2 linked regions of the Drosophila melanogaster genome follow. The protein of the gene in region 2 interacts with the protein of the main gene of each other region in a pairwise test. Each region holds a gene or a part of one and is shown on either strand. Other genes may lie near its edges.

Region 1 (3,120 bases), on a different chromosome or scaffold from region 2:
GCTGAGGCTGAAAAGTGTATTATAAGAAAAACATGTAGTAGTTTAGTTCTTATCCTTAATTTGGATGAATTGAGAGATATATATAATATATAACCGTCAAACTTACTCCAGCGCCCTGGCATGATAGACGACCAAGTTGTGCAGGTATTTGATATTTTCTTCATCCGTATGATCACCTCCTTCGTAGGCCTCCAAATCATTCGCTATAAAGTTGAAGTGCATGGTCAGCTGGGTTATGGTCGCGATCAGCAGGAGATCCACGCAGACGTAGGAAACTCCGGCCACATAGGCACAATGAGCCAATCCCCAGTAGGAAAACCAGTAGACCGTCAGATCCGTTTCTGCGTCGTAGGGAAACAAAATGTGAAATCCGTAGTTGCGCTCAAAGATTTCCGATCCCATAAGGTAATACTTTATGGTCGACTTGATGGCTGGATAAAAGCTAAATGACGAGGTGTAGGTCATGCAGAGGATGGTGAATAGGGTCATGACCCTGTTCATGTGTTTCCGGTAAAACGATACGTTATACTTCCGCTGCGCTTCTAAATCTAAAGGAAATATCTCCTTGAGATCATCCAGCAATCTGACCAATCGCTTTCTATTCACTGTGAGACCGAACTGCTTAAAGTCGGCCATGAAGCTGAAGCCAATGCACGGTGCCACTGCAGTGGCCTCCAAAAGAGTAGTCGTCGACATTATATGGACTATAAAGTACGCGATTTCGCCCACCACATAGGCATTGAAGTTGAGAAAACCGAGTACCAGATAAAAACGTAGCAGGTAACGCCTTATCACATTCGGATCCCTATCGGAGTACAGATCCTCGCCGATGGTCTTGTAGAAAGTCATCGGAAACCGGGTAAGTTCGTCGAAGGTGATGACTTCATCGTCACTTTTTGGCTTACGTTTGCGGAACAGCATGATTCAGCTGTTTGATCGGCTGACAGAATAAGTCTTAGGTTTATATAGCTCCCATCAAAAGTGTCCCATTAAATTCGCATGAGACACCCTTCGCTGACCTCATAATTACTTAATTTAATTTGGGGTAACGGAACACCTGCCACTTGACTTTCTAAAATATTGAGTTCTACAGGAATGTTCCCAGGACTACACGGAGAAAAATCGAAGGACACTTTGGGGACGAGAGGATATTCATGCAATTTGTGGTAAGGAACTGAAGTCATACTCTAACTGAACGGTGCTGGCTGGTCAAGTTATATATGTTTATGTGATGTTAAATATAAACCTTGTGGTCAACACAAGCACAAGAATCAATTATATATTCATTATACTCGTTAAAGATATTTTTTTTTTAAGGTAAGGTAAATAAAATGGTAAAAAAGTAAAGGTAAAAAAACTAGCCGAGTTAGAGACTGCAGGAAACTTATCTAAGTCGTTCTTTTGTTGCAGGTACACCTAGCAAAAAAAAAAACAACTAAGTCAGGCCTATTTCTATATTTGTTCTCGAAAACTTTTTTTTTACTAAAAGTCATAAATATATATAAAGTTGTTCCGGGTGTTTGGTTTTCCGTGCAACGAACTGTTTTCGTAGCTCCCGCAGAGCTTATAGTTTTTGCCTAATTTGCAGCGCGTTTTTTCCTCTATTAATTTTTAGTTAGCTTTCCACATGTGATATTTTTATGGCATTTACGCTGGGTTTTTTTTGAAAAGAGTTTAGTCGTAAAGCGTTTTTGCAGCCAATATGAGCATTTAAATTTGTTTTACTACAGGAAAGTCTTTTATTTATTGTGAAAAACCCCGCTGGGTAGCTGCCTGCGCTTTTCATGCTTTTTATTGTGTGCTTCTGGGCTGTGGGCTGAGTCACGATACGCGGCGTATACGCAACGTATACGCAACGTGGGCAGCTGATAAGCTGATGAGGAGTTCGTGTGCACCGAGTTGGCGAGCAATCGCGTGCGCAAAAAGAATTGCCTGGCCTATCGTCTGATAAATTGCGAACCACTCGCCCCAGACTTGCACACGACGTGATAAGTTGGGTCAAACAAACAAATTTGTTTTGGATTTGTGCAATTTTGCACTCGTTCGAGTTCGAGGCAATCGAAGTGGGTATAAAAGTGGGGGAGTTGCCGGACTGGGTCATCAGTTGAATAGCCAAGCAACAAGCAAACAAGTGAATATCAGTTCGCCTCAGCCAAGTGAAAGTCGAGAAATAGATACATACAAGATGGTTTGCAAGGGTTGTGGAACAAGTAAGTGGTACAACGCAGCAGCAAGCTGTATAATTGACAATCGTTCTCGATTCCTCGACAGACTGCCAGTGCTCGGCCCAAAAGTGCGGGGACAACTGCGCCTGCAACAAGGATTGCCAGTGCGTTTGCAAGAATGGGCCCAAGGACCAGTGCTGCAGCAACAAATAAGCGGGCCAACTATATAACTAACTGTTTAACTTCTAAACTGGAGCTTAACTCCCAACGAGTTGGCCGCAATAAATAAAGTTTATAAAGATTTTGAGCATTTAAAAGTTTCTGCCGTTAACTTTTTGTTACTGGGCGGTCGGTCATCTTACCAAGCGATAATTATATTTTCGGCTTTTGGCAGCTAAAACCAATTATGGTAAAATAATAAACGTGAGCTGGCATTCAGTTAAGCAAACCGCAAAATAGAATTACATGAAAAATAAGCAAACGCAATGCGACAATTTGGGCGGGATTTGCAAATATTTGTATGTTCGCGGACAGCTGCACCGGAATTAAAATCCAATCCATCAGCCGTGATTTTGGTAGAAAACTCACCGAAAGTCCATTGAATTGTGCGCAAAACGGAACATAAATCGAAATAACATTCAATTTTCGTGGCCATCGAACTGAAACCAAATTATTTAGCCGCTTTTATCTGCGACTGAACTTTGCCCATATGCCAATGGCCGAAATTGCAACCCACTTTGTTTTGAATATAAAATGTATTTCGCTTTTGAGGCAATTTCTCAAAAATGTTGTGCCGATTTTATTGCATTTTCAAAAAATACATATATATTCTGCTCTACTAGCAGCAAATTCCTCCAGCGTTATGTTGGGTTTAATAGTCTGCCAATGGAATAGATACGTTTTGTATCGGCCAAATAATAACTTTCTGGCCAAGTTTTATTTATTTAATAGCCTG
Region 2 (4,830 bases):
CCACATGTACATATGTAGATAGCCAGATAAAATGTACAAATGTATGTATGTATATAACCCGGAGGAACTGGTTCTGGTGAAAGAGATTCGATCCGATACGCCGAAGACACCTCGTTGGATGCGACGCGAACTACACGTAATAGTTGAAACGCTGCGATCACAAAAGGGGGTTCAAATCAGGCAGATCGTATATATTTATATACATATATATCTGGGTATACCGGTAGAGTCAAGACCCGTTTAATATGCGAGACATCCACGTCGACTAGAGGACTCTCGCTTGCGCTTAACATTGAAATGGATGGGTGGTGATGGTGGCAAAACGGGAATTGTGCACTCGGTTACTGTGTCACCAATCCAACAGCTGTTGTCTGCACTGCAATAAAATGCCACATCAAAGTAACAAAGTTACAGAATATGTGGAACAACTAATAGGTAACTACAAGTACATGTTAACAGATTATTAACCGGGTTTAATTAGACATCACATGTAGATTTGTATACTGTGCACAAGTCACTCGTCATTTCTTTCAGCGAAGCATTCCTGGCATTCTGATTCAGTCTATTTGCAATTTCGCAATTGCCAGTCGCAGACGGTGATAAGTCGCCCGCTGCTATTTCTTTCCATTTTTTTTTCTTTTGTGGAAATGTTTCCCCGGATGATAAGACCAGAGGTTTGAGGCGAAAGTCCGCCCGCCACCCCCTGATAAAGACCCACGTGCTCCGTACAATCGTTTATTGTGGTGAATTACAAAAAAAAAAAAGCACACAAAATATACGTAAAAAATAATCACTTTCCGCTTAGCGTCTGCAGGTGTTTATCATCTTATTTTTGGGTGGCGCTGTTGCAGGGAAAGATGCCTCACAGTTTCTTCTTCTTCTACGCTCTAGGGTTAATGTGTAGGATATATAATGTAGTATATGTATTGGTTTTAGTTGAACGGGGGGTTTGCGATTCGAATCCACTCCCACTCGCCAGGAGCGGCCCCGTTCAGCGAACAGATAGCCTCTTTAGGAGGTGGTCTCGAAGTACTCCTTGGACTTGGTGGGATCGGCCACCATGGTCTTCTGGCCGGGCTTCCAGTTGGCGGGGCAGACCTCGCCGTACTTGTCGGTGTACTGGAAGGCCTGGACGAGACGCAGGGTCTCCTCCACACTGCGACCTACGGGCAGATCGTTGACGGTGATCTGGCGCAAGTTCTGCTTGTCATCGATGATGAACAGGCCGCGGAAGGGGATGCCAGTCTCCTCATCGAGCACTCCATAGTCGCGGGCCACCTTCATCGACTTGTCAGCCAGCAGTGGAATGTCCATGCTGCCCAGACCACCCTGCTTCCTTGGCGTGTTGATCCAGGCCAAGTGGGTGAACTGGCTGTCCGTGGAGCAACCGATCACCTCGCAATTGATCTTGCGGAACTCGGCGGCGCTCTCCGAGAACGCAATGATCTCGGTGGGGCACACGAAGGTGAAGTCCAGCGGGTAGAAGAAAAGCACCAGGTATTTGCCCTTGTAGTCGCTCAACTTGATGTCCTTGAAAACACCGTTGACGACGGCGGTGCCGGCGAATGCGGGAGCGGGCTTCTGTAGCTGGGGCATCTGTTCAATGAATGGATGGCGAATTAGAGACATGTTTCTTCAAACTAGCGAATAATTAACAACAAAGTGCTCTGAACTTAGTCGCCTTCTTTTGAGAACTTCAATTGTAAATCCCTCATATGGTCCCCTTGAAATCTCGCTGTGACTGATACTTCCTCTTTCGACCGATACGCATCTTATCTTATCTATCAAGATTTTTTGGGCCCCACAAAAAACAAAAATTTCATCACTCTAACCTCGGATTATTACAAGATAACCGTTGTTTAAAAAAATTGCATTTATAGAGGCTAGTGAAATCATGGAAATTAATATGAATAGATACTGTTAAAGTATTATGATGGGAAATCAATATTATGCTAGGCCCTTAGAATGAAAATTGGAAATATTTACGAAATTCTTGAAATTTCTCATATGCAATATACCTATTTTGTAGTAAACTTACTATTTTATAACCTTTAATCTTGCCTATGTAACTTCCAATTGGTTTTCAATTGTAAAGTAGTTAACTTGATGCTAATTCCATACTAAAAGTCTCTATAAATCGGAGTTCTAATGGCGGCAATTACTAACGATTAAGGGCAATTACCCTTGACTTCCAGATATTTCGCCACAAACTGGAAAGATCAAAGAGGAGAGTAGAAAAGCTGAACTCTACAAAATGGCCGCCGAGCGAAGCGAAATGGAAGAAACCCGGAATAATAAATTAGCCAAATTTTTCGACTGCTCCCATTTATGCGATTGAATTTATTGAACTGTCGGCACGTTCGCGTATTTCATGTAATGGATGCGAATTAATTACAAATCACAAACTTATTTCTGAATTGGCAAATATTTTCCTCTAGTTTTGATTTCATTTTTGTGCCCTTTTTTTCGCCGGCTCTTCGCGTGTACGTGTGTGTGTAAGTGTGTGCGACGGACGTGCCAATAAAGTGGAAAAAAAAGAACGAAATGTGAAGAAAAAAACTATGCTCTCGGTGCAAAAAGTTGTGAAATAATCTCGAATCTGCCGACCGAACATGAACATCATTATCTTTTGCTCATCGAAAAAGAACAACAACAGCAACAACAGCGATGCTAATTTCTAATCTTACGCTCCGCAATTTCTCGCCGACTTTGCCCAGAATGAGCGACCTGTTCATCGCCCAAGGAACACTCACTTTAAACAGTTATATTTTTTCTCTTAGTAATTCTCGGTAATTGCTTGACTTCCGCGTGGGCTTCCTCTTGTTCGTTCTCTCGCAGCTTCAGCTTTCGCACAAACAAACCTTTCGGCACGAGTTGAAATTCGCGAATGGATTGAAATTAAGCGAATGCTGGTCGACCAGGGCTGCCGCAACACGGATACCGCTTGCGATAGGCAGCGCCGATTAACGCTGCTCATCGATATTTTTTAGCAAGTGCTTAAAGCGCCATCTATCAACTATTGGCGTGCTTTTCAAAAGTGGATTCTACATTTTAAATGGTAAGTTTTAATATTCAAGTTTTAAGATAGTAGCGCTTAATAACTTTTGATAGACTTGGAAACAAGTACTACTACTAATAATAAATAATGTGTAATAATATGTACTGAGCAGTACTTTTAGTATAATTCGGGCACACCAGCTTAACGGTCACACTGGTCGTCATTTTGCCGCCAAAATGAAAAAACCGCGCTTTTTTTTAATTCTTCCATTATAAATAATGTAGTTAAAGAACTGATTCCTGTTTATAATAACCATTTCTATTCCACTTTGGCGCAAATAATATTTTCTATGTATTATGCTATTCTGTGGTCCACAAATCTCCACAAATAAATTGAAACAAGTACTTTCGTTTTTTCGTTTTGTTTTAACTGAATTTAATAGTGCACAATTAGTAGTATTTAGTAGGTAGTCGCATAACCATTATATTAAAAACTTAGTCTAAGCTCTTGTTGCGTGTTGGGTGTGTTCATTTCTTAGTTACTTTTCGTATCGTTACGATCGACAGTTGCAACTGCCTTGTGGGTATTATCTCCAGCCATTCGGGTATCTCTAGGATTCGCCAAACGTGAATTTTTTTGTTTTTTTTTTTGTTTTGGATAAATAAATTACACTACAGCAGCAGCAGCAGCACATATAGGCCAGGCTATATATCTTCTATATATGTATATGTACGCGTATATCGTATATATTAAAAAATATGTGTATGCATATTGTGATTTCAGTCTTTGATTTTAAACTTAAGGGGTTAAATGTACGCAAACTGTTAGAAAAAAACAAAAAAAAAATGTATAACTAAGCCTAGGAATTGGGGATTAATCGATTCGGAAATTGGAAATGTCTTTGTCTCCGGGGCCCAGCCCCAAACCTCCGTGTGGAAATGTATGGATTTCCCATTAGGGTTTGCTCTCTTCACCCGTCTGCTCCGCTTGATCTCCTCCAGAACCAGAAACGGGTGACTGAATGGCCTCCGCCTGCGCTTGCGCATGCGCCTCCGCCTCCATGGATGCCTGCAGCTCCACAAAGATATCAATGAGATTGTTGATACCGATGAGATAGCCATCTTCGTGGTTGCCCACCTTCCAGGCGGAGTAGTGATCGATCCGCAGCTGCGGCGGCAGCTCCACCGTCTTGGCGAAATCAATTAGCCATATGCTGGCGTGGGTCTGATCGTGGACGAAGAGCAGGGAGCTGCCGATAACCTCGTGGGTCTGGAAGAATTCCGAGACCGCAAGGGTGGCCCTTATGGCTCGCAAACGCTGTATGTAGCGGGGCTGTATGCAAAAAAAAAAAAAGAAAAGAAAATAAAATAAAAAGAAAAGAAAAAGTAATGACAAGCGCAGGGAATCCCCAAGTTAATGGCATTCAACTGGGCATGCTTGGCTAATTTGAATACCCACCAAAATATGTGGGTGACCGCTGAGGAACTCGAGAAAGGCCAACTTGATTTGTTCGCGTGACTTCGTCGTTTTGAAATCTTTGGAACTGGTGCCATCGCTCTTCTTGATGCCCTGCGAATGATGTTTAGACGATTAAATTAATGGCTTTCCATTAACTTTTCTGAATGAATAATTAATGTTTACATTTGACTTTAAGGATAAATGTGTAGCCTGGCACTTTGCACACGCTTCTCATTCACATAGTCGTATGTTAATTTAGTGGTTTCGTTTTTTTGGGTTGGCTATTCAAGTTTAAATGGAATAGATTCAATTCAAATTCAAGCCCACCTCGATGCGGAATCCCAGCGTGGCCGTGCTGGAGATGGTCTCACGCC

The links.
Region 1: the proteins of Prx2 (region 2) and MtnB interact in a two-hybrid assay, tested with the Drosophila melanogaster proteins (one study listed by BioGRID).

What each region holds. Positions count from the first base shown.
Region 1 is NT_033777.3:20,502,596-20,505,715, reverse strand, and holds MtnB (metallothionein B), read left to right. Parts: upstream 1-2,097; 5' UTR 2,098-2,185; coding exon 2,186-2,210; intron 2,211-2,271; coding exon 2,272-2,378; 3' UTR 2,379-2,614; downstream 2,615-3,120. Other genes in the region: Or92a (odorant receptor 92a), read right to left, coding at 1-7, 107-921. UniProt on the Drosophila melanogaster protein: This protein binds cations of several transition elements. Thought to be involved in metal ion homeostasis.
Region 2 is NC_004354.4:13,327,888-13,332,717, reverse strand, and holds Prx2 (peroxiredoxin 2), read right to left. Parts: upstream 2,895-4,830; 5' UTR 2,754-2,894; exon of another isoform or gene 2,688-2,753; intron 2,320-2,687; exon of another isoform or gene 2,039-2,319; intron 1,700-2,038; exon of another isoform or gene 1,597-1,699; coding exon 1,012-1,596; 3' UTR 724-1,011; downstream 1-723. Other genes in the region: IP3K2 (inositol 1,4,5-triphosphate kinase 2), read right to left, coding at 3,953-4,330, 4,457-4,567, 4,784-4,830. UniProt on the Drosophila melanogaster protein: Thiol-specific peroxidase that catalyzes the reduction of hydrogen peroxide and organic hydroperoxides to water and alcohols, respectively.